4 linked regions of the Mus musculus genome follow. The protein of the gene in region 1 purifies or fractionates together with the protein of each later gene. This does not show direct contact. Links are inferred from orthologs where the notes say so. Each region holds a gene or a part of one and is shown in the gene's direction. Other genes may lie near its edges. The genes, in order: Ppm1k, Bckdha, Bckdhb and Dbt.

Region 1 (6,405 bases):
TTAGGAGAGTAAAGTCTCTGTCTACAAGCTACTATGACTGGATGGATGTGCCCTGGACCACAGGAACTCGCTCCCTCTCCTTTTCTTGTTGAAAAATACCAAAGCAATCTGCAAGAGAAAGAGATCTGCTGAGATCACAGACTGACAAAGGCCACATTTATACCTCTTCACATAGCACAAAATCATCATCAGTCCTAAAAACAGAACAGGCAACAAATCTCACCAGAAAGTCTATAAAAGAAAAGGCCTGGGTGTGTAAATGCTTCAGAATTAGGTGGTGCTGTTTCTGCAGTGCGTGTAGGAAAGACATCAAAGATGCTCTAGAGAGAAAGGCTCTGGGCAGTACTGCATAGTGAATATGAGTTCAGTGTCTTCACACTTACCTCTCATGAGAAAGAAGCGGAGAGCCTGGCTATGAAGAGAGACATAGCCAAGTAGTCCCAGTTCAACCTCTTGCAAACTAAGTGCCTCAGCCCACTTTTTCAGTCTCTTTATCCAGTTTCCTTAGTTACAAATACAAATGATAGTAATTAATTTTCTTTGTTTTTTTTTAAAAGATTCATTATTTTTAATTATGTCTATGGGTGTGGTCAGTGTGTAGGTATGTGCCTAAGAGGGCTGATGTCCTTGGAGGCCAGAGGCATTGAACCCCCAGAGTTATAGGTTATAAGCTGCCCTACACATGAACTGGGAATCAAACTACAGCGTTCTGGAAGAGTAGTATGTGTTCTGATAGCAACATGAAAAAATACATCTTACACATACGTTGTTGAACCAGAGAAGCCAAACAAACAAAAAGTATGTGTAGGTTATGGTTTAATACATACCAAGTGTAAAGACAAAATTAATCTACTGTGTTAAAAGTCAGCGTGGAGGCTGCCCCTGGACAGAAGCAGTAATGGGATGCCCGGCAGGATGAAGGGTCCCTTGGGGACTAAAAACATTGTTTCTTGATCAGGTGCTAGATATAAAGTCAGGCTGTATGTTGTGAAGATCTCTTGAGCCACACTCAATATGCACACTTTTCTGTCTATATGCTGGATCCGGTAACAATTTCAAGAGCTTTATGAAAATTGATTCTCTATCCAACATAAGCCATTGTTAGATTTAGTGAGTCACTAACACAAATATCACTGTCGAAACATATTATTATTAAATGCACTGGGTCTCCAGATGCTCTTGGACCAGGAGGTGCAACTAGGCAACACAACTTAATTATTAATTTTAAGAATATTTTTAATTAAAACTTATTCCATACATGCATTTTGAGCAATTCTTTCCCCTTCCACAATTCCTTTCAGATCCTCCCCACTTCCGTACTACTCACTCAACTTTATGTATGTTCTCTCTCTGTCTCAAAAAAAAAACCCAAAAACAAAAAACAAAACAAAAAAACAAAAACCCAAAATCAAAACAAAAACAACCCAATTAAGACTTAAAAAGTGGAGGTGGGGGGAGCTGGTGAGATGGCTCAGCGGTTAAGAGCGCTGACTGCTCTTCCAAAGGTCCCGAGTTCAAACCCCAGCAACCACATGGTGGCTCACAACCATCCGTAATGAAATCTGATGCCATTTTCTGGAGTGTCTGAAGACCGCTATAGTGTACAGTGTATAAATAAATAAATAAATGAATATTTTTAAAAAGACTTAAAAAGTATCAAAACAAAACCAAAACACGCACACATAAAAAATCATGGAGTCAATTTAGTGTTGACCAGTATTCCTGTGCATGAAACCTGCCCGGGAGTGTGCTGATACAGCCTGAAAGGCATCTGCTATTGTCTTCTGCTCAGATCCATCCTGCCTTGACTAGATTCAGCGCGGTAAAATCCGCTGCCCAGTGTTCTCCAGCCACACCTGAGCCGTTCCCTCTTTAGACGTGATTTGTCTTTTACTGTTTATTTGTTGGCTTGCTTCCTCATCTTCCTTATTAGACCGAAGGTTCTAAAGGCAGTTATCTGATTATTTGAATCAGTTTGGACCCCCAGATCCAAGGCAATGCTTCCTTCAAAAGACGGAAATCTTTTTGGCATGCAGGATAGTCGCGAGCCATCCCAAGATGCCTGTTAATGCAGTCCGAAGAACATTGGTTTGTGATTTGTCAAAGAACACTGGATGACGTACAAGTGCTACACTCAAGCAAAGCGTGGCTGTCCGAGTCTCGATTTCTTGGGTCAGAGTTAAGATAACTTTGGCAGAAGTGAAACTCCCTCCTCCAGTGGCTGGCGAAAAGCAAGGTCCCTGGTGCCTGATTCGAGGCCGCCAGGCCCATCAGGAGGGCGGGGCGCCAACGTCGAACAGCTACTGGCCCACTTTGACGTCGCTCTACGGCGTTTAATTGGCAATCTGAGAGGTCAAATTGCCTGTGCAGGAGGCTCGTTCCTATCTAAATCTGTAATTGGCTCAGATTGAGGGCGGGCAAAGAGTCTTTCAGAGCACCAACTGGCTAGTGTTGCTGTCAATCATCGGAAATACACTCCTCCGGGTCTCCATTTGGCCAGCTGCGGTTGATTTTTTTTTATTTTCCGAGAATTTCCAGGAGTGGAAGAGACTGTGGCTTCCCTAATTGCTTGTTCTGGAGATCATAATCAACAGAGAAGTCAGTCTAGTTTATCATCCAAGAAATCCTTCCCTTCCTTCCATTAGCCAATTAAGAAATTTACAGACACCTACCCATCACAAGGTAAGAGCCTAAGGAGTTTAATTCGCTTATTCTCCTAGGTTGTTGACGAGACATTGGCGGTCTCCGGAGGTCCCCGGGAAGGCGAAAGAGAAATATGAAATGAGTTCCTGCAGCTTACTCTGTCTGAGACCGAGTCCCACGCGCATCTCTCTGGGTTCGATGTGCTCCCTTTTTCTGGAAGTGGAAAGCAGCTGCTCTCGCCTAGGCCCACGGTGGCTGCGCCCGAGCATCCGGCTCCCCCAAAGCAGCCTTGGTCGGCCTTGAACTTGACCTCGGGCTGATAGTGAGCCCCAGGGAAGCAGGGATAGAAAGATGGGCGGGGTCCCAGGGAGAGAATGAGAAAGCTAGCAAAGATAACAGAACCCTGATTCACTGCAGCGAGACCCTTTGGTGCGCTCCTGCCCGCGAGAGCAGGCATAGCTGCCTAAGAACTTGGGATGCCAGATCTCAAGAGCTCAGGAGAGTGTTGTCCTGCCGCGTCCAGCTTCGTTCAAGGCCAGCAAACCAGCCCACGATTCTATCCAGCCCAGGCTTGCAAAGGGACTGGTGTAGAGAAGGATTGCGGAGCCCTGGTCGTTTGGATCTGAGAGCTTGTGTTTTGCTTTGCTAGGAGAGCACTGTATCTTAGGGGCATGTGGCTCCTGGCGCAGGTTTTCGCAGACGCTTTCTGTAGATGAGAGAATTTACCCGGAGGAGACAAAGATTGAGGCTCTGGGTAGAAATAGCTAGGAAATTTCGACTCTCAAAAGCTCCACCGGTTTTCGTTGTAGGAGCTGCAGGAATAGAAACTGCGAAGCCCCCAACCCCCAATGTGCATGTCAACCCGGCAGAGCAGATGTAGCCTCTGCTGGACCTGTGCCCTGGTGAGGAAACCTGGGGCTCTCTTGAGATCGAGATCTGCAGGGCTTGGCGGAAGGGGCTGTGTTGCCCTTCTAGTGTGTGTTGGAACTTGTGGAAATTGGAAACCAGCTCACCACACTGTATGACAAATGTCATAAAATAGGAAGCTTTGGATAATGGGCTCTTGTTTATAATTGTTTTTCTTGCAATCCGAGTCTCTTTTTCCTTGTCTACATCAACCCACCCCCTTCACAGAGTTGAGTAACACTTACTTTTCAATACTGTATTCTCACTTCGCCTATGAAAACAGACTCTCACATACAACCGAAGGGAGTTATTGACCGTTTTGTTGTTTTCTTTTCTCCAGTAAACTAACATTTCCTTTCCTCCTAAAAGGCGATAAAGGCATCAAGAGTGCGGATTTCCTAAAATACATTTCTGAGGTTTTCAGATGATTTTAGTTGTTTATTGGGGTGCACTGGGGTTTTGTTGTTGATGGTGGTAAAGAAATTTGGAGTTTAAGAGTGTTAAAAATCGGGCCGATGATGTTGCTTGACCACTAAAGGCCTCTGCCTGCTTGCACTGGCCTGCACTTCCCCCGGGCTCACATACATGTATGTATGCATACATACATATCAAAAATTATCTTGTGTTTCCATTATGGAAAAATACCAAAGTGCCACTTTCTAGTTACCTCACCAGCTTCCTGGAGGGAGGAAACTCCAAGCCCTCTGCTGACTGCCAGAACCCTCAGTCAGTTAATCCTGCCGAGTTCTTGTGTAAAGTGATAATAATAAACTTCCCCTTTGAATAGTTTTTGACATTCAGATTCCAGTGCCAAAACCTGCTATCGAGATAGGACTCCTTTTTCCAAAAATGAAATTGAAAAAGCTCAGGGGTTAAACTGCTGAGCAAGTAAAACATCTGAGAAATATGAAAAGGAAAGTTGGTGCAGTAGTCTTGCATCTGCATGTGTGGGTCCTTGTGCTATGAAATCAAATGGTGACTGGCAAACTTCACAAGGCCCATGAGTTGAGACTGGGTGTTAAGTAGTCCAGACTGGGCATTAACTCCTGATCCTCCTGCCTCCATCTCCTAAGTGTTGGGAATCAAACTCCTTTGGCCTGAAGTTGTTGTTCTGGAAAAGTGGGTTTCACAGTACTGTCTTGAAGATGATCTCACAGCTTCTTAAACTTTTGGGGCTGAAATTTCTGCTAAATGGAATTACTTATATGGCAATAACATTGTTCTAACATTGCAATTCTATTTATTTCTTTACTTCTTAACTTGTCAGTTTTAAAGTATCAGGTTGAGGAGGAAGATGGGGAGAAAGACATAGTCACACAAATCAGGAGGAAATGGTGGAAAAGGCGTATTTTCAGAAATTTATAATAGAGAACATAATCTAGAATGCATATTTTTAAAAGATTTATTTATTTTATGTATGTGAGTACAAGGTCCCTCTCTTCAGACACAACAGAAAAGGGTGTCACAGATGTTTGTGAGCCACCTTGTGGTTGCTAGGATTTGAACTCAAGACTGCTGTCAGTGCTCTTAATCGCTGAGCCATCTCTCCAGCCCCTAGAATGCGTTTTTACTTTTGGACATACACAAACATATTTTTAAAGACTGATGTGGGGTTGGCGAGATGGCTCAGTGGGTCAGAGCACTGACTGCTCTTCTAAAGGTCCTGAATTCAAATCTCAGCAACCACATGGTGGCCCACAACCACCTATAATGAGATCTGACCCCCTCTTCTGCTGTGTCTGAAGACAGCAATAATGTACTTATTTATAATAATAAATAAATTAAAAAAAAAGACTGATGTGGTTAAGTTGTGATACATTTTGTTTTGGTTGAGAAATAAGAAAGAATTTGAAATAGTTCGGGCAAGATTACCATTTTTCCTTTTATATACAATTACCAATATATTTTAGATTGGTTATGTTTTATATCTAGGATTCCAGGCAAATTATTTTTCTTTATTTTTTTCCTTGGCATAGTTTAAAGTTTATGCATTGTTTGTGTATATGCTTTGTACATGTTCCATTAGTTTCCTGGGATATTTTGTGTAGTATCAGGAATGACGGATGCTTCACTTTGAAAGCTTACATATAATTGTTTAAATGGTTTACTAACATCAGTTAGCTTAGATTTCTAAACCACAGAGTGGCATTCCTGATTATAAACACCTTGTTAAGTAGCTGCTTCTTAGTGGAGAAGCTGATAAGCTTATCCTGGCTCAAGCTCACTGAGCTGATAAACATAGAGACTGCTTAGGCCCCTGTCAGGTTGTCCTCCACTCTTTTCTAAGTGTGGTCTTTCACACTTCCACTCTGCCCCTCTCATCTGCTGTTCAGTTCATGGCTATTTTTGCTGGCATTCCAAGACCTCTCAGGCTGATGATGCTGTGTTTTGTTTTTCCTCAACTTGAAGCAGGAGAAATCTTTCTCAGTGTAGACCTTTGTTTGGTTTGGAGTAACGATGCTTCTCTGTCTCTGTCTGTCTGTCTGTCTGTCTGTCTGTCTGTCTGTCTGTCTCTCTCTCTCTCTCTCTCTCTCTCTTGCTGTTTTGTTTTTTGTTTGGTGGGAACTGGTTAGATTTTTGAATTGAGGGTTTTCAACCAATAAGCTACAACTCTGGGTTGTGAGCAGGTTTAATTGAAAGTCCTCATGTAGCTTGGGAACACAAGTTGCCTTTGAATAGTTTTCTTGGGTCTCTGAAAGGGATCAGTGTGGTATAGTTGTGGTGTGGCTGCAAAGGAGAGGGAACCACATAAATCTCCTTGCGTAGGTGGTACTGACCTAGTTCTGCATCACTGAGGAGCCAGCTGTATAGCTCCTCACACTGAACCTCTGCCAACAAAATGCTCTCCAGCAGTTG
Region 2 (5,055 bases), on another chromosome or scaffold:
CATTGAAGCTGAAGAAGGAAGTGACTTACTAGGGACTTGTGGTAGGGAGGAGGGCAGGAACTTACTCATGGGTACTCGTGACTGCAGAGACCACGGTCTACCCTGCCCTGGCTAGCCTGGACCTCAAGTGGACTTCCCAGAGCTGGGGTGCCCTGAGGCTCCTGTATGCTACCGAGACTGCCAGGGTGCTGGGCCTGTGCCCACACAGCACACAGACCAAGGATTGGCTCTCTTATGGCCTCCTGGGCCCAGAATCTGATAGGAGGCGTGTGTCTCGGTGTAGCCCTGCTGTTGAACCAGTCTGGGTGTGTGGCTTGTGTGGCTTGTGTGTCTGCAGACCTCCTGGGAGAATGTGGGAAGCAGAGCTGTTTATTATGGTGCACCAGAGTCCCTTATTCAGCAAATGTATGCCAGGTGTCACCCTAGGCTTTCTGAATAAGACAAATGTCAACCCTGTTCATACTGATGCTGTCTTGAGGGAGAGGGGGCATCAGGGAAGAGTGTGAAGAGATGGTACCTGGAGTGCTTCGTGCAGGTGACAGGAAAGGCAGCACAGAGCCATGTCGAGGGGGCAGTAGCAGGGGCATCACAAGTGATTGAAAGGCAGACTGGAAGTCGTGTGGAAGGGAGCTGTGTGGGCACCTTGAGGCAATCGTGTGTTTAGTTGTGACTAGACCAGGGGACTAAGGGTGGGGAGTACTGAGCACTCGGGGCTTAGTGGCCTTTCCTATTGCAAGGACTTGGCCCACAGTGGCCTGAGAGCCCAGAGTTAGGAAGGAGTCTGCCAGACTCACACTTAAGAGTCCCCTGGCTGCGGCTTGGCCTTGGTGTGGAAGGTCCAGATCTGGCTATCCTCTGAAGGTGGCTGGCATACATGTAAGCGTGACAGACAGGAGTCAGGGGTCACACCCTAGGTACCTGGAGACAACTTTCCGAGCCTGAGTCTGCGTGCGTGTGTGGTGTGTGTGTGTGTGTGTGAGAGAGAGAGACAGAGACAGAGACAGAGAGGGAGGGAAGGAGGGAGGGGCAGGCTTATTCCTACTCACACGCTCTCATCTGTGTCCCTGTGCAGCGGTAGGGGCAGCCTATGCTGCCAAGCGGGCCAATGCCAACCGGATTGTGATCTGTTACTTTGGCGAGGGGGCAGCCAGTGAAGGGGATGCCCACGCCGGTTTCAATTTCGCTGCCACCCTGGAGTGTCCCATCATCTTCTTCTGCCGGAACAATGGCTATGCCATCTCCACACCAACCTCTGAGCAGTACCGTGGGGATGGCATAGGTAAGGGCCTTTCTCTTGCTGCCCTCCTTCCTGTTCTCTCCCTGATGGTGTCTGACAGTAAGGGCACAGGGGGCAATGAGCAGAGCACACCCTTCACTCTCCTCTTCCCCTTTCTTCTCCCTGAGGCCTGACTGGCATCCTCTCTGTCCTGCAGCGGCTCGGGGCCCTGGGTACGGCATCATGTCAATCCGTGTGGACGGCAACGATGTGTTTGCTGTGTACAATGCCACTAAGGAGGCCCGACGGCGGGCTGTGGCTGAGAACCAGCCCTTCCTCATTGAGGCCATGACCTACAGGTGCCTGTCTCCCTTCCACCCCTGCAGCTCACAGGTCTGACAAGCTCTGTCAGCACCCCCCCACGTGTGGCCTGGTCACCCCATGTGCACTCCCTTCCTTGTGCCACATCACTCCTGTGTCCTTTTCTGACACCCCGCCCCCGGCTGATCCACAATCCTCCCCTGAGCAGGATTGGCCACCACAGCACCAGTGACGACAGCTCAGCGTACCGTTCGGTGGACGAGGTCAATTACTGGGACAAGCAGGACCACCCAATCTCGAGGCTGAGGCAGTACCTGCTGAACCAGGGTTGGTGGGATGAGGAACAGGAGAAGGCCTGGCGGAAGCAGTCACGAAAGAAGGTGAGGGCCCATTGGAGCCCCAGGGTGTGCTCCCGATGGCTCTGCACAGCGAGAACTCTGGGAGAACAGGAATAGAGGACCTGGGTATATTCACACTGACCCAGGCAAGCCTTGTCCTCATGCGTGGCTCATAGAGCCAAGCCACCTGGACCATATGGCCTCAGTGACTCTTCACAGTGGAACCCAGGGCTAGTCATGTTCCTGGGGTATCTACTTCATAACTCAGTCCATGTAAAGTGGTATGTCCTACCTGGGCTAGAGCTAATGTCACCCTCTGTGCACTTAGAACAGGCCTGTTCTGGCCTCATACTGCACCGTGGTCACTAGCTCAGCTCTGACTCCGTCGCCCTGAGGAATCCTTTCCTTTCTCTGCATCTTGCCCTCCACTCCTGTTCCCTCCATTGCAGAGCTGAGCTGACAGTGCAGGGCCAGGACCCTGCAGGCTAGGCTCTGGAATGTTCATTAACACCAGTCTGAGGCCTCAGAGGGGTGAGGCTGGACCGTGGCTTGTGGTTGGGAGAGGGCAGGATGAAGGGGACAGCCACTTACTCCCTCATGTCTCCCAGGTCATGGAAGCCTTTGAGCAGGCTGAGCGGAAGCTAAAGCCGAACCCAAGCCTCCTCTTCTCCGATGTGTACCAGGAGATGCCCGCCCAGCTCCGCAGGCAGCAGGAGTCGCTGGCACGGCACCTGCAGACTTACGGGGAGCACTACCCCCTGGACCACTTTGACAAGTGAGGCCCTAGCCAGCACAAGGGGGTCCTGCTCTGAGTGGATGCTGCCCCCTGTGCTAGTCAGCTGTGCGAACATGCTGAGCAGCCAGGGTGGCATTCCAGGGTGACTTTTGCTCCTGTTCCTGCTCCCCCAGGCTACTTCACTGGGGCACCATGTTTGCAGCCATTGCTGCGGCTACTTCACTCCCTTCACCTGTTACAGTGCCTTTTAGGGGTGGGAAGGGACCAGGGCCAGGGAAGACCCTCTGGGCAGGGTGGCCCTGGGCTTGCCCAGAGAGATAGCTGATTGGCAGAGTAAGTAAACCACAGGTCTGCCTTTGACTCTGCTTCCTTCGTCTCTGTTTCCTCAAGTTTGGGGGCTGGGGTGTGTATGTGGAGAGGAGGAGAGAGCCCAGCATGGCTGATTTGGTTTGGAGTGCTGTTGTGTGTTTGTGTATCTACACAGTAACTTACTGGGACTTATGATATTGCTTTAGCTTCTAGTTCTGGGACTATATCGTATATAGCACCACACCAGCCTTTGGGGACATCCTGGCTTCTTAGGCAGAAAGACTTGGAAATACCTACTTCTATAAATGTTCCCAGGCTAGAGGGCAGCCTTGGCATGTATGTGGCCCCTCCAGAGAAAGCCCTCCATGACCTGGTAGATGCATGATGTCCAATGAGGTGTCCAGGATGCCCCCTGGAACCTGCCAGGCTAGGCTGGGTGAGGGCAGAGGGGCAGCAGCATCTGCCTTCCCTGCAGGGGTCCCATGGAAGAAATCGCTCCTGGCCTTGGAGTAGGAAGGACACATTTTTCAAAACCATAAAGTAGATAAACACAGTCTGCCACCTTGGCTAAGAAGGGTTTAGGAGAGACTCAGGCCAGGTCAGCCCCACCCACCCCAGCTTGTCTCTAGGAGAGACTCAGGCCAGGTCAGCACCCACCCACCCCAGCTTGTCTCTGCCGGTCAGCACTGGAGCTCTGGGACCCACAGATGTCTCCAGAGCCAAATGGTGTCCTGAGGGCTGACTGGATGCACCAAGAGCAGGCCTCGCACGGCGCAGGGGTCCCTGGTACGTTCTGCTGGCCAGGCTGTGAGGAAGCCTGGATGGGCACGGGGTGCTAAGCCCAGGGCACGGAAGCAGAAGCCAGTGTAGACATCATCAAAGGGGAAGGGTGCCACGCGAGCTGCCGCCTGCAGCAGCCAGGGTGCCAGGCGTCCTGAGATTACATAGCCACCTCCACTCGCATAGGCTGGATAGTCCCCTTCAAAGAAGGTCTTCGGCACATAGAAGGGTCCTCCGGGCTTGCGGAGCGGTTTGGCCTGGGTGAAGATCTCACCCAGGTAGAGGCTGCGGGCCCAGGTGGGTGGCAGAGTCTGCAGGTGCTCCAGTAGGGCTGGGATGTGCACAAAGGCATCATCCTGAACCTGCAGGACAAAATTGACATCGGGGCAGTGGTGGCTCAGCCAGGTCAGCAGCAGCAGGTCCTTGAGTGTCCGGTTGTAGGGAACATCCAGGAAGTCCCAGAGCAGTAGGTCACCATAGCGCCGGCTTTCCCACGTCACCAGTGATCTTAAGTCAGGCCCCCCCATTCCTAGGGGGGACCCCAGCAGGAAGAGCAACCGGGTCCCAGCAACTGGGCTGCCCCAGGTCTCCCTCACAGCCTGCCGTGCTGCAAAGTGTCCTGGTTCTGATTTGACAGCCAGTAGCAAGTAGGGTACATCCTTATCAGAGCAGCTGGCCACAGGGCTGCCTTCTCCTGCAGGCAGCCATAGTGGAAAGCTCCTACAGGCCGCCGACAGCAAGAAGCGCCGAAGCTCCTGGGGGTACAGGATGAAGTCCAAGATCTCCGAGGCAGCAACAGTCCCCCAAGTCTGACAGTCCGTACTGGGCAGGACTCCCAGCTGCCGCTGCTGCTGGTTCCAGTAAGCAGAGGACAGTGGGCCAGTCTGACCCAGGCGTGCTGAGAGGTTGGTGGGCAGAGTGGGCTCAGCATTGGGTGGTGTGGGACTGGGCAGAGCGCCCCGGGGTTCAGCCTTTTTAAGCCAGGACTCGGATGTCCACTCGATGTATACTTTGAGGCCCAGGAGTGTGAGCAGTGCTGACAGGCAGAGCTGGCACTTGCGGCAACGCATGACCCGGCCCAGGGAAAGGGCCACCAGTGGGGCTGCAAGAGTCACAAGGAGCCACAGAAGTCTTTAGGGTGCAGGGTGGATCTCCAAAGACGGCCCAGCGAAGCCCAGGCAAGCAGCCTAGGTCCTACCCAGTTCTGTTAATGGCTTCTGAGACTCTGACCCTAGGCAGACTGAACTACAGTACCCAACTTAACGTTATCCTAGACTGAACACCGCCTCCCCTCGACCCCCCATTCTTTCCTTTTCTGCAGTCATGGTGTTATATCTATTTGCAGTATCGCTCCA
Region 3 (6,645 bases), on another chromosome or scaffold:
TACCGAGCAGGATCACTTGCCCAAGGGTAGCACAGCCCACACTGTTTTGTGCCCAGTCACACCGATCATTAATCAAGAAAATAACCCACAGACTAGTGTATAATCTAATTTAACAGAAACATTTTCTCAGTTGAAGTCCTCTCTTCCCACATAACCCTGCTTGCTTGTGTCAAATTTACAAAAAAGTCTAACCAGGACAAGCAATTCTCTGCCCATCAAAGTTTTCTTTTTCTTACACTTTGTGTGTGTGTGGTGTGTGTGTGTGTGTGTGTGTGTGTGTGTGTGTGTATACGTACGATGACATCTTGTGGAGGTCATAGGGCAACTTTCAGGAGTTATTTCTTGTCTAACATGTCATCTTTAGGTATTAAACCCACGTTATCAGGATTAGCAGCAAGCTCCTTTACCCTCTCAGCCATACCCTAGTCCTTTCAACTCAGTTTTCATTGACTAACTTGTCTTTTTAAAACCTTGAGTTTAAAGAGTGCATATGTATAAAACAATAAATCCTGTTACAAACCCATTATTAACTGCCAAATGTCTCCAAGTTTCTTCGTTCTGAAGGCCACATTTGCATACTTCCTAGCCACCCCGGAGCAACATTTTACTCTTCTGTATGGCACGCTAGCTTGAAGGTAGTGATATTCCTCTGGATCCATCTGCAAAGAAAGTGTTACTTTTTTACATATAGTCACTGAATCAAAAGAGGGACGAATCTCAGCAGAAGTAGACTGAAGTGAAGTTCTGTGAGAGAAAACGAACCAAGAATCATTCTGAAGAAAGAAGAGCAACTGTGATGTCCATTGGCTCCATCTTCACAGGCTCTCCGTGTCCCCAGGGATTAGTCAGAAACCCAAGTGGAAATGGCTCAAACAAAGAAGATAGCCCATTTGCAGCATATTAAGGTGTCATGAGGAACCCAGCCATCAGAAATTCCAAATGTAGTCAGTTTCATCTTTTTTTGGGATTATCAAATTACTGAAAACTTCCAATTTTTGCACTTCCCAGAGGCATTTAAAGATAGCCTGACTCCCTGAAAAGAGAGTTTCCCAAACGAAGTTCAATGCAGCTGGGGATGGGGGCAGGCAGAGGCTCTCAGCATAGGAACAAGACATTTCTTTCCTTGCCCTGGAAGACACTTCATTCTTTCACGACAATGAGCCTTTGCACCCACCTCACCTGTTGTGGAAGACTATGGTTCTCTGTGCTCTGCTTTGGCAACCTCTAATCCTCTGGGTGCAGGTCAGCCTTACCTCTGGAAGCATTTTGACCTTCAAGAGCTTGTTTCTCTTCATGCTGTTCTAAGTCTCTTACCACATTTGAATGCCACTGTCTAAGCTGTCTCCTTTGTGTGCATTTCTGAATACGTAGAATTCCATTTCTACTCTTACCCCGTGCTTCTTAGCTAAACCTAACATCTGTTAAGAGGTCACAAATACTACAGGAGGAATGTTTCTTCCTGGCTCCTTCCTCTCTGTTCTCTCAGTCTGTCATAATACTTTCTCCATTCTGGAATCCTTCCTCGAGATCTAGACATACTTTCTTGCCTCTGTTGTATTCTATTTTGATGGCTATCTTCCAACTCATGGCTAAGGAAGATAAATAAATACACACACACATATCATATATATGATATATATGCGATATCATATTTGATATGTATGTGATATATATGATATATATAAAACACTTAAATATTTTAAGATAAAATTTATAAAGTTGATTATTTTGACTTTAAATCAGTCATTCAACTTGCTTTTTTTTTTTTTTTTGGTTTTTTGAGACAGGGTTTCTCTGTGTAGCCCTGGCTGTCCTGGAACTCACTCTGTAGACCAGCCTGCCTCTGCCTCCCAAGTGCTGGGATTAAAGGCGTGCACCACCACCGCCCGGCAACTTGCATATTTCTAAGTTACACAGAGTAAGACCATTAGGTGATTTTTGCTGCACCTCGACTTTAAATTCCTAGTGGATTTGAAGGCCGAAATCTCTACTTACTATTTTTTGATATGATCTAAATCAGGATAAGCAAAATCAATTTTAAAGATTTAAATATATTTACTATTTCAAAATAAGAGTGAAGGCCTTTCCCGAATTCTAGATTTTTTCGGAAACTCGAAACCAACGCCTGTCTTTGCAATGACCATATTGCACTTACAGACTATGAGAAACACAGCCTAAAACGAAAACGCTACTGAAAAATGCACCGCAAAAATGACACTGCGAAAGAACACAGGCAGTCGCGTTGTGACACCCCAAGTCCTGCAGCTGATTTTGGGGTGGGACCCAGGGACCACATCTCAGGCTGCAGGGGCCTTGGTATGGCTTCCGTCTGGGCGGGCCGCCAGGTCATAGCGTCTCCATCCCCGCCCCCGAACTTCCGTCTCCGATTGGTCTCTTTCACGGACCCGCCCCTCGAGGCTGCCCAATGAGGAAGCCTGCGTCTTAGCTCCTCCCTCCCTGCCGGCAGCGTGGGCTGCGGTGCCTGAGAACTGGGGATGGCGGCGGTGGCTGCGCGCGCGGGTGGGCTGCTGTGGCTCCGGGCTGCGGGAGCAGAGCGGCGGCGGTGCGGACTGCGCTGCGCTGCGCTGGTGCAAGGCTTCCTGCAACCCGGGGGCGAGGACACGGCCCAGAAGCGGCGGGTGGCCCACTTCACTTTCCATCCGGACCCAGAGTCCCTGCAGTATGGTGAGATTTGGGGATCTTGCTGCATCCCGGCTCTATCCTTGCCTTGCCCTAGACTCTAGACTCTACTCTAGAGCCTCCTTGGTTCGGGTCAGTTTGCGTTCCTGTTACTCGTCCTTGGTGATTCTTCCCTTCAGATGCAGCCCCTGGAACTTCAAGATAGGTGAGAGGGCACTCTGCCTTCTGCTAGGGCCTGAGGGTGTAGAGGAGTTGTCCAAAGAGCGCTCCCCCGCCCCCTTCCCCTGAGTTCTATCCATGCTTTCCCCATATCAGGTCTTAGGTGTTAGCTTGTCCTAGACTGAGTCACTAACTTGAGGCAACTGTCTGTAAAACACTTGCCTTTTAATTTTCATTTGAAAATGTAAACCTAGGGAGTAAATACTAGAATTTGATTTTCTCAAGGTCACGAGACAGGTTCTGCCTAAAGATGGGAAAGAATCCAGACTTCTATTTCAGCCTCATACAGAGCTCCTGCTGGGCCCCGCTGTCACCTGGCCAAGCAGTATTCCATAGAGATGGTGGAGAAGAGCGAACAGAAGGGAATGGGGCAGGCTCCTGTCCTGCCACCTTTGCCTCACTCTGACTGTTTCTCCTGTAAGTTTTATGCAGTCGCCCTCCATCCTAGGTCTAACTGCAGAGCACCAGGAGAAAGTAAGGAAAACCTACACTGTTTTTTTTTTTTTTTTTGTCTAATAACTTGGGGCTGGCAGTTTTTGGAAGCCCATCTTTACTTGTGAACAATAATGGAATATTTAACCGAAAGCTTGCTATTGGTGAAATTTACATTCCTCATCTCATTTAGTTCATAGGACAAGATTTAATTTCATGTGAGGTAGGTCATGTTTTCATGTTTGCTTTGCAGTTAGATAAACGGAAGCCTTGAAGCAGATTATTCAACAGTACACAGGACATAAGTTCATGAGACATAGCGCCAATGGTCAGAATCTAGTAAGCAGGATTCCAGACTTGCCACTCCACGGAAGGCAATAAAGAGGCCTTTAGAAATAATTTCAATGACGGGGTTTCCCAGTTTTGTGAAATAGTAGGACTAGAAAGATGAACAGCAGTTCGTTTTTCCCTCTCAGCCTTCAGTACTGTTTTCACAGCAAAGAAACTTTGGCCTGGTAATGGAGAAATAGAGCAGAGGTCTTCCGAATTCTCCTTTCCACAGTTGTGAAATTACTAAAATCCGAGTGATGTCATGGCTCTAGGTTGTTACTATAGAAACAGTACAAACATCTTACAGATAAAAGGCAGAGTTTAGAAAAAAGTGACAACATGATTGCACCTCTCATGGTGGATGCTGCTAAACCTTTTGAGGTTCATTCTTCCAGAGCTCTGTCTTTTCCACAGTTGTAGTTTTAATACAAGTCCAATTTGCATCAACTAGAAAAATAACTTCCTGTACTGCTGTAGAGTTTTGTTGATCTGTAGAGTTCAGTAGTGAGAGTCAGGGTCTTGAGTTTGGTTTTGTCCCCATCCCCTGAGACTTTTTTTTTTTTTTTTTTTTTTTTTTTAGAGACAGGGTTTCTCTGTGTAATCCTGGCTGTCCTGGAACTCACCAGGCTGGCCTCGAACTCAGAAATCCGCCTGCCTCTGCCTCCCGAGTGCTGGGATTAAAGGCGTGCGCCACCACGCCCGGTTCCCCTGAGACTTTGAAGTCCTCACTTCTGCAAGCCTCACATCTCTGTAATTAAGGGATTAATGATAATAGCGATTTCAAAAGGAGAGGAGAGCTGAGGGCTGAATAAAATTTATGTATATATATATATATATATATATATATGAATGAATGACACAGTGTTTGCCATCTTGGAAGTAATAACGCAGTAAAGGGAAACTTTCAATAGACAATACCATGCATTTGTCATAGTTTCACAGTATTAGAAAAATCACACACATTTCATGCATGTGGCTCTCCTGCCCCCAATGATAGAGCCCTAGAGATTAGAGTTCTCACTCAAAGACATGAATGGTTTAATGGAGTTTTTAAATGCCCACTTTGAATCCCCAGTTTACCCCCAGTGTGTATAAGAGTGTTCAGTGTAGTAAGTGTGAGAGTGTGTAAGAATGTGTAAGAGTGCCGGGTGGTGCACACCTTTAAGCCCAGCACTCGGGAGGCAGAGGCAGGTGGATTTCTGAGTTCGAGGAGGCCAGCCTGGTCTACAAAGTGAGTTCCAGGACAGCCAGGGCTATACAGATGAACCCTGTCTCAAAAAAACCAAAAAAAGAAAAAAAAAGAAAAAAAGAAAAAAAAAAAGAATATGTAAGAGGAATGTGTAAGAGTGTGCTAGGGGCTAATGATGCTGAAAAGCCCAGGCACACAGCCTTGGGATTTTGTGCTAACTTCTGCACTTGTGTTTGCAGCTCTTTCAGTCTTGCTGAGGAAAGCTCTCCCATGTATTAGCTCACTGGTTCATGTTCTTTTGTGACTTGAATTTGCTTTTTTTCTTTCTTTCTTTCTTTTTTTAATATATTTTGAAAATTGCACCTTTAGTCATGTCTCCTGTTCATGTCAACACTGTTCTATGTTGTTGAGCAATTGCTTTTTATTCAGCTGGTGTAGGCACGAAGTCTCTTAGCTTGACAACCATCATGTGCGTTAGATGGTGTTTGTGTTCACTGTACAGATGAGGCAGTGGAGGCACAGAGAGACTTGTGGTCTTCCCAAGTGTGGCGAAGGGCAGAGTCAGCTTCCAGTCCCATTGTGTCCGACTCTTAAAGTCTTACAAATGGGTTTAGGTGTTAAAACTTTGCATCTTACGCCCGTTAATGAAGGTTCGGATTCTCTGTGCTTCATGGGTGCTACAGATGCTTTCCGTTCATCCATACTGTTTGATTTCACACAGAAAAGGTCCTGCTTCAGTTGCTGACTGGGGCCAACTTCTTTTAAGGTGCACAGTGGCCTGGAACAAGGACTTATCTTTGCAAAGACCATGGGAGCATTGTTTTTCAGGCAGGAAAAGACCTTTTGTAGGCTCTTTCTGTGCTGTATCAACAGAGAAAACCTCTGCGATTGAGATGTTTCTAGTAGTGGGGTAGGCAGGTCCCGTGATGATCAGGGGTAAATGAAGACCTTTTGTTGATGGGGCTCCCCTTTTTTATGGGATAGGAATAGCATGAATAAACTCGGATTAGTAAGCATGATGTTTCTTTGTGCATTGGGAAGTGAGTTTATTTGGAGTGAAAAAGGAAGACATATGAAAGATGGAGGCTTTAATATTCAGTACAAAACTTGGGGAGAGAAAGTAACACATGTCTAAGGTGCACCTCACAGTGTGATGGGTGCACTGACTTTGGTTCAAATTCTGTTGGGCTCTGGGAGACCTTCGTTTATTTCTAGGAGACAGGTGATTTGCAATGTTTTTGTTAGTGGATGGTATCGCTAGATGTATAGCAAGGAGCTGAGAGACGAGCTTTGAATATTGTCATTGCCTGGGTGAGTACCAGAGGGTAGTAGTAATACGAGTCATGTTGACCCTGTTTTACCTGTGGGTGCTGGGGAAGGGAGCTGACGATGATGTAATCGTTTGTAGCAAGAGAGACTAAAGGATGATGTGGTATTTTTCATTTTACCCAGACAAAAGTCAATGTAAGGGAGGATGTATTTTGGCTTACAGTCCATCGTGTCGGGTAAGGCATGGTGGTGGCAGCAGCTTGAGGAAGCTGGTCACAGTACATCTGCAGTCAGGAAGCAGGATGGGATGAATACTGATGCTCAACCTTTTTTCCTTTTCATGCAGTCCCAACCCAGCAAATACATTCATGCTGTTGGCATTGGGAGAGGGTCTTCCCTCCTCCACTAACCTCCTCTTGATGACCCTTCACAGGTGTGTTTTGAGGCTTGTTTCCTAAGTGATTCTAGATCTTGTCAGGTTGACAGTTGGTACTAGTAAGGGGAAGGAGCCAGGACCACTGATACAAGTAGGGAATTCTGGGGTAGATCTCCATCTTTGGAAAGTG
Region 4 (5,850 bases), on another chromosome or scaffold:
GCATGTGTGATTCCAACTTTCAGGATGAAGAGCTTACAGGAGCCCTGGGGCTCTATGGCAAGCCAGTCCGGTCTCAGCTGGCAAACTTCAGATGTAGTGAGAGACGCTGCCTCAAAAAAGTAAGCTCTTGAGAAATGACACCAGAGGTTAGCCTCTGACCTCCACATGCACAGGCTCGGGTGTGAACGTGTACCCACCCTCGCATGAGCACACACATACACAGGAACACAGCAAACAAGCACACATGTACACACCAGCATTTTAGCTTAGGTCGCCTAGAGACACCGTTTAAGAATGTGGATGCCTGTGATTGGTTTCTTAAAGAAGCAAGAGTCTGTAAAGGGAAGGAGAGTGTAGCAAAGGGGAGAGACTTAAGAGTGGGAAAGAAATGGACAAGGCAACAAACCTCTACCAACCTGTGCTGAGACTCGAGAGTTGTGTTGCCTTTGTCCATCTGTAAGTTACTCAGCTCTCCATAACTCCAACAGAATCCCCCAAATAAACCACCTTCTAAAGAAGAGATGTTTAAGTTGGCTCCTAGCTTCCTGGTCTTCAGTTCATGAGCCATCAGCCGCCTTGTCCTAGGTGTGTGGTGCTGCAGCACATGGTGTGCACAGATGTGGACGCTTACTCTCCTCAGAGATGGGGACGAAAAGGCCACCCACAGTCCCCTTTGATGACACACCCATAGTAACTGGAAAATCTCCCCGTAGACTCCAACTCAAAGTTTCCACATTGTCCCACCTCCACTAAATTAAACCAGTCCTTTATTTTATTTATTTTTTATGTTTATGTATGCATGCTTTAAAAAAAAAAAGAAAGAAAGAAATAGGATCTCATTATGTGGTCCAAGCTGGCCTCAAATCATTATATAGCCCAGGCTATCCTCATAATCTCTACTCCTCTACCTCAGTCTTCAGAGCGCTGGAATTATAGGCAATCCCCACCGTATTCTGCTGAGCACAAACCTGGAACACAGACATTCCAGATCCAAACTGCAGCCTTTTCTGTGCTGTGTGGTGGCTAACAGGCCTGGCAGCATGGCTCCCTGACACTGATAGGAATTTAGATGTCTCAATTAGCCTCACAGATAAGGAGCTACTGTGAAACCTACAGTGGGACGGTTGCCAGCGCAGTCACACAGCCAACAGTGCAGTGAGGCCAGAGTTTATCAGGGGCTGTTGTCGCCTCAGAAGCGCTGGTGCCGCACAGCAGCCTTCCCATCCATTACCTCAAGCTTCTCCGTGCCAGGCCCCAGACACGATAGCGCAGATGTTTACAACAGCCCTCCAGGGTGTTTGGATCCTCACTGTTGCTGGTGAGAAAGGACCGGGAGGTGTGTTAACTTGTCCAAGCCCAAAGTAAGTGGCCGACCTGGGAGACTGAGGCGAGTTCTGTTTACACAGCTGAGTTCTTCCCACTCCGCTGTGATGCAGAGAATTTCTGAGAGAAGTATAGTTGTTACCGTGAGGGGAAAAAAAAACCCAAAAGTTTGTATTGTGCGCATGTGTAATTGAGCTGTGGAAGTGCCAGGACAGTTCTGCTTGTGGGGAGGACTCTGTGATGTGTTCTGCCTTGTGTTCTCAAGAGCAGATGGTCCACAAACTGATTTACACCCCAGCCCGTGTTAGGGGTTTTAAATAGGAGCTATATATCTCAGGCTCACTGGCACTTCCTATTGTAGCCCAGTCTGGCCTTAAATTCACAATGCCTCTGCTTCCGATTATAAACCTGGGTTACCACAGCTGGCTTCTCTGTGGCTTCTCTTTACATTCAGATTTTGTTTTTGTTTTTTAACTTATTCTTTTCATTCAGTACATCCCTGTCAGAGTTTCCCCTCCCAGTCAATGTTGTCCCTCCATACCCCCTGCCCAGATCCACTCCTCCTCATTTCCCTTCAGAAAAGTGCAGGCCTCTCAGAGACATCAACCGAGCACAGTGTAACAAAACACCCTAAGCCTGGGGACAAACCCTCCCGTCAAGGCTCTGCAAGGCAGCACAGTAGGAGGAGGACAAGAGTCCCTGGAGCCGGGGAGAAGAGTCAGAGACACACCCATTCCCACTGTTAGGAGTCTCACAGGAATACCAAGCTTACAACCCGATCATAGGCAGAGGGCTAGTGCAGACCTTGCGGGCTATGGGATTGCTGCTTCCGTCTCTGGGCTCCTGTGAGCCCTGCTTGCTTGTTCTGTGGGCTGTGTTCTCCTGGTGTCCTGAGCCCTCCGGCTCCTACACTTTTCCTTTCTATCTTCTGTGGGGTTCCCCTTGTTCCCAGGGTAGGAACCCGGTAGAGATCTCCAATTTGGGCTCTCTTTCCACCTAGTGTGTCGCTGTGGTCTCTGCACCCACTCCTGTCATTGCCAGAGGAAACCTCTGTGATGACACTGGGCTAGGCTCCTGTCTTAGTCAGGGCTTCTATTCCTGCACAAACATCATGACCAAGAAGCAAGTTGGGGAGGAAAGGGTTTATTCAGCTTACACTTCCATGCTGCTGTTCATCACCAAAAGAAGTCAGGATTGGAACTCAAGCAGGTCAGGAAGCAGGAGCTGATGCAGAGGCCATGGGGGGATGTTCCTTACTGGCTTGCTTCCCCTGGCTTGCTCAGCTTGCTCTCTTACAGAACCCAGGACTACCAGCCCGGTGACGGCACCACCCACAATGGGCCCTCCCCACTTGATCACTAATTGAGAAAATGCCTTACAGCTGGATCTCATGGAGGCATTTTCTCAAGGGAGGCCTCCTTTCTCTGTGATAACCCCAGCTTGTGTCAAGTTGACACACAAAACCACCCAGTACAGCAACCGATAACGTTCATATCTTAAAAAAAAAAAATCAATATATATTAACTATACAAAGTAGTGAGTTTCACTAATAAGCAATAAGAATATATGAGAAGGAATGTCAGAAATGACTCAACGGTAAAGATGCCTTGCTGCACAGAGGACCCGGAGTTGATTCACAGAACCTACATGTCAGCCAGCAGCTGGCTGTAACTCTGGTCCTAGGGGATGTGGCCCATACCTCAGGAGGCAGAGGCAGGTGGATCTCTGTGAGTTCAAGGCCATCCTCACCTACACAGTAAGTTCCAGACCAGCTAGGACTATTCAGAGGGACCTGACTTTAAAAAAAAAAGAAAAACAAAGAAAGAGACAAAGAATAATGGGGAGATTTAGAGACTTTGGAGATTTAAATGGACAAATGAACAACAGTGTGTAAAAGTAACAACTGTGTGTAAAACTGTGTGTAAAACAGTGTGTAAAAGTAACAACTGCTTACCCAGAGGTCCTGAGGCTTGTTTCTTAAATGATGAAAATGTTCCTCAAACAAAGTTACTGGGGAAAATGTTTACATATATATATATGTATTATATGTGTGTGTGTGTGTGTGTGTGTGTGCATTGGTTTTTCAAAACAGGGTTTCCCTGTGTATCCCTGGCTGTCCTGGGCTGCAGGGCTACTCTTATTTTTTAAGAATATGTGTGTGTGTGTGTGTGTGTGTGTGTGTGTGTGTGTGTGTTTAGCCCTGGCTGGCCTGGAACTCAGCCATCCGCCTGCCTCTGCCTCCCGAGTGCTGGGACTAGGCTTGTGCCATCACTGCCTGGCTTTTCTGCTCCATCTTTAAACGTTGATGGTAAGTTTATTCTTAACACCAAAATGTATTCTGTTTTAGATTAAGCTGAGTGAAGTTGTTGGCTCAGGAAAAGATGGCAGAATACTTAAAGAAGATATTCTCAGCTTTTTGGAAAAGCAGACAGGAGCCATACTGCCTCCCTCACCAAAATCTGAAATCACACCACCTCCACCACAGCCCAAAGACAGGACCTTTCCCACGCCGATAGCAAAGCCTCCAGTGTTCACAGGCAAAGACCGAACAGAGCCAGTGACAGGTAACAGCAGTGATATGAAGCGGTGTAATTTACTTTGGGGAATTGTCTCAGGAGACGCATCTTCATCGTATGATATTTTTGATTGCCTTTTGAGCCTGGATCTCACTGTGTAGCCCTAGAACTCCATATGTAGACCAGGCTGGCTGTGTACTCACAGAGATCTTCCTGCCTCTGCCTCCCCGACGCTGGGGATTAAAGGCGCGGACCACCACGCCTGGCTTTCAGTTCTCACTAACAGAAAATTTCAAACTCATCATGAAATTACCATAATACAATGGTACAGTTTTTCTATTTTTGTATTGAAAAATAATATTGTCAGGTTTATATAAAACGACTGGCTTTCTTGTAGGCTTCCAGAAGGCAATGGTGAAGACCATGTCTGCAGCCCTGAAGATTCCCCACTTCGGGTATTGTGATGAGATTGACCTTACTCAACTGGTTAAGCTTCGAGAAGAGCTGAAACCTGTTGCTTTGGCGCGTGGAATCAAACTCTCCTTCATGCCCTTCTTCTTAAAGGTGAGTTTCACTCATCCCAGGCCAGGCCCCAGAGGGGATGGTGCCACTTGGTCTTGTAAAGATGCAGCAGATTAGAATTAAAGTACTGCTTTATGCCATATCGTCAGACTTGGGGGGAAAAAAGTCCAAACGCACCCTCTTTGATTCATAGGAATTTATACAGTTGAAAGCTGTATTATATTTTTAATCTGCTTACCTCTTTCTCTAAGATTTATTTTATGTTTAAGTTACATTTACCTATTTATTTAGTGTGTGTGAGTGTGCGTGCTGTGTGTGAGTGTATACTTGTGTGTTTATGCACTCAAGTGCACTCAAGGGGACAACTTATAGGAGTCCGTTTTCTTCTTCTACCTTGTGAGTCCCAGGGATTGAACTCGGGTTGTCAGGAGGAAAAGTGCCTCGCTCAGCTCACTGAACCACCTCGCCAGCCCAAGAGTTTGTTTGTTTGTTTGTTTGTTTGTGTTTGAGGCAGAGTTGCATCCCTGGCTGGCTTGGAACTTATGATGTAGACTGCTTTCAAACTCAGACATCAACCTGCCTCTGCCTCCCAAGTGCTGGGATTAAAGACATATACCACAATGCCTGGCTGTTTGTGTGTGTGTGTGTGTGTGTGTGTGTGTGTGTGTGTGTGTTTGTGTTCATGTATGTACCCACAGAGGCTAAAAGAGGGTGACAGTCAGATCTCCTGGAGCCAGAGTTAGCAGGCAGTGGCGAGTCATTCAGCTGGGGTCCTCTGTAGGTGTAGTGCATGCTCCTAAGTACAGAGCCGTCTCCCCACTTGAAGCTAGGAAGAGAACCCTGCTGACAGTTGAGGGAAGCCTGAAAGAGAGGGGAAGAGGAAAGTTCCAGTTTGAGCTGAAAGGAGACATGAAGTGGCCACACATAACAGTAGTATTCGTTTCCATGTCTTCAACACATCCACGGGGAGGCTTCTGAGTGTGGCACTGCTGGGTCACTGGCAGTGACATTAACAGCCACTGCAAAGCAGCTACCGTGTGTCAGGCTTCGGTAAGCAAGCTCCAGACAGCTATCCCTTACATCTCAGTGGTATTCCAGATGTGCAGATAGTACATTCTCCACTTCCCTCTGAAGAAAACTGGGCCTCAGAGTGGCTGACAGTCTTCTCACGGACGTTCTAGTCTGCTCTGGTCCTGCTCTGGCCTCTCCTCATTCGACATGGCTCCTCCCGCCCTTTCTTCACAGTCTGCCAGGACAAATCATCTTTCACTCAAATTGAATCGGATCCCGATTCTTTCAGCAGTTTCCCTTCAGTGCCTTTAGGATGATTTCCCAAGTCCTTAGTGTGGCCTACAAGTCTCTGCTGGCTACCCCTCCAGTCTCCTCAAAACCACTCTCTGCCCACTCTGTTTTAATCACATTGAGCTGAAATATCCACCAGGTCTCTCCCTCTGTCTCTCTGTGTCTCTCTGTCTCTGTCTCTCTCTCT

The links.
Region 2: the proteins of Ppm1k (region 1) and Bckdha purify together in Homo sapiens (affinity purification with mass spectrometry; 4 studies listed by BioGRID and IntAct, counting the BioPlex papers as one, with this or other methods). This does not show direct contact. The link is inferred for Mus musculus from reciprocal best matches to the Homo sapiens genes PPM1K and BCKDHA.
Region 3: the proteins of Ppm1k (region 1) and Bckdhb purify together in Homo sapiens (affinity purification with mass spectrometry; 3 studies listed by BioGRID and IntAct, counting the BioPlex papers as one, with this or other methods). This does not show direct contact. The link is inferred for Mus musculus from reciprocal best matches to the Homo sapiens genes PPM1K and BCKDHB.
Region 4: the proteins of Ppm1k (region 1) and Dbt purify together in Homo sapiens (affinity purification with mass spectrometry; 4 studies listed by BioGRID and IntAct, counting the BioPlex papers as one, with this or other methods). This does not show direct contact. The link is inferred for Mus musculus from reciprocal best matches to the Homo sapiens genes PPM1K and DBT.

The regions. Positions count from the first base shown.
Region 1 is NC_000072.6:57,531,557-57,537,961, reverse strand, and holds the start of Ppm1k (protein phosphatase 1K, mitochondrial precursor), read left to right. Parts: upstream 1-2,474; 5' UTR 2,475-2,682; intron 2,683-6,405. UniProt on the Homo sapiens protein: Serine/threonine-protein phosphatase component of macronutrients metabolism.
Region 2 is NC_000073.6:25,627,862-25,632,916, reverse strand, and holds the end of Bckdha (2-oxoisovalerate dehydrogenase subunit alpha, mitochondrial), read left to right. Parts: intron 1-1,072; coding exon 1,073-1,279; intron 1,280-1,433; coding exon 1,434-1,575; intron 1,576-1,745; coding exon 1,746-1,917; intron 1,918-2,483; coding exon 2,484-2,654; 3' UTR 2,655-3,065; downstream 3,066-5,055. Other genes in the region: B3gnt8 (UDP-GlcNAc:betaGal beta-1,3-N-acetylglucosaminyltransferase 8), read right to left, coding at 3,601-4,770. UniProt on the Homo sapiens protein: Together with BCKDHB forms the heterotetrameric E1 subunit of the mitochondrial branched-chain alpha-ketoacid dehydrogenase (BCKD) complex.
Region 3 is NC_000075.6:83,922,675-83,929,319, forward strand, and holds the start of Bckdhb (2-oxoisovalerate dehydrogenase subunit beta, mitochondrial), read left to right. Parts: upstream 1-2,462; 5' UTR 2,463-2,495; coding exon 2,496-2,685; intron 2,686-6,645. UniProt on the Homo sapiens protein: Together with BCKDHA forms the heterotetrameric E1 subunit of the mitochondrial branched-chain alpha-ketoacid dehydrogenase (BCKD) complex.
Region 4 is NC_000069.6:116,535,419-116,541,268, forward strand, and holds part of Dbt (lipoamide acyltransferase component of branched-chain alpha-keto acid dehydrogenase complex, mitochondrial), read left to right. Parts: intron 1-3,670; coding exon 3,671-3,887; intron 3,888-4,236; coding exon 4,237-4,403; intron 4,404-5,850. UniProt on the Homo sapiens protein: The branched-chain alpha-keto dehydrogenase complex catalyzes the overall conversion of alpha-keto acids to acyl-CoA and CO(2).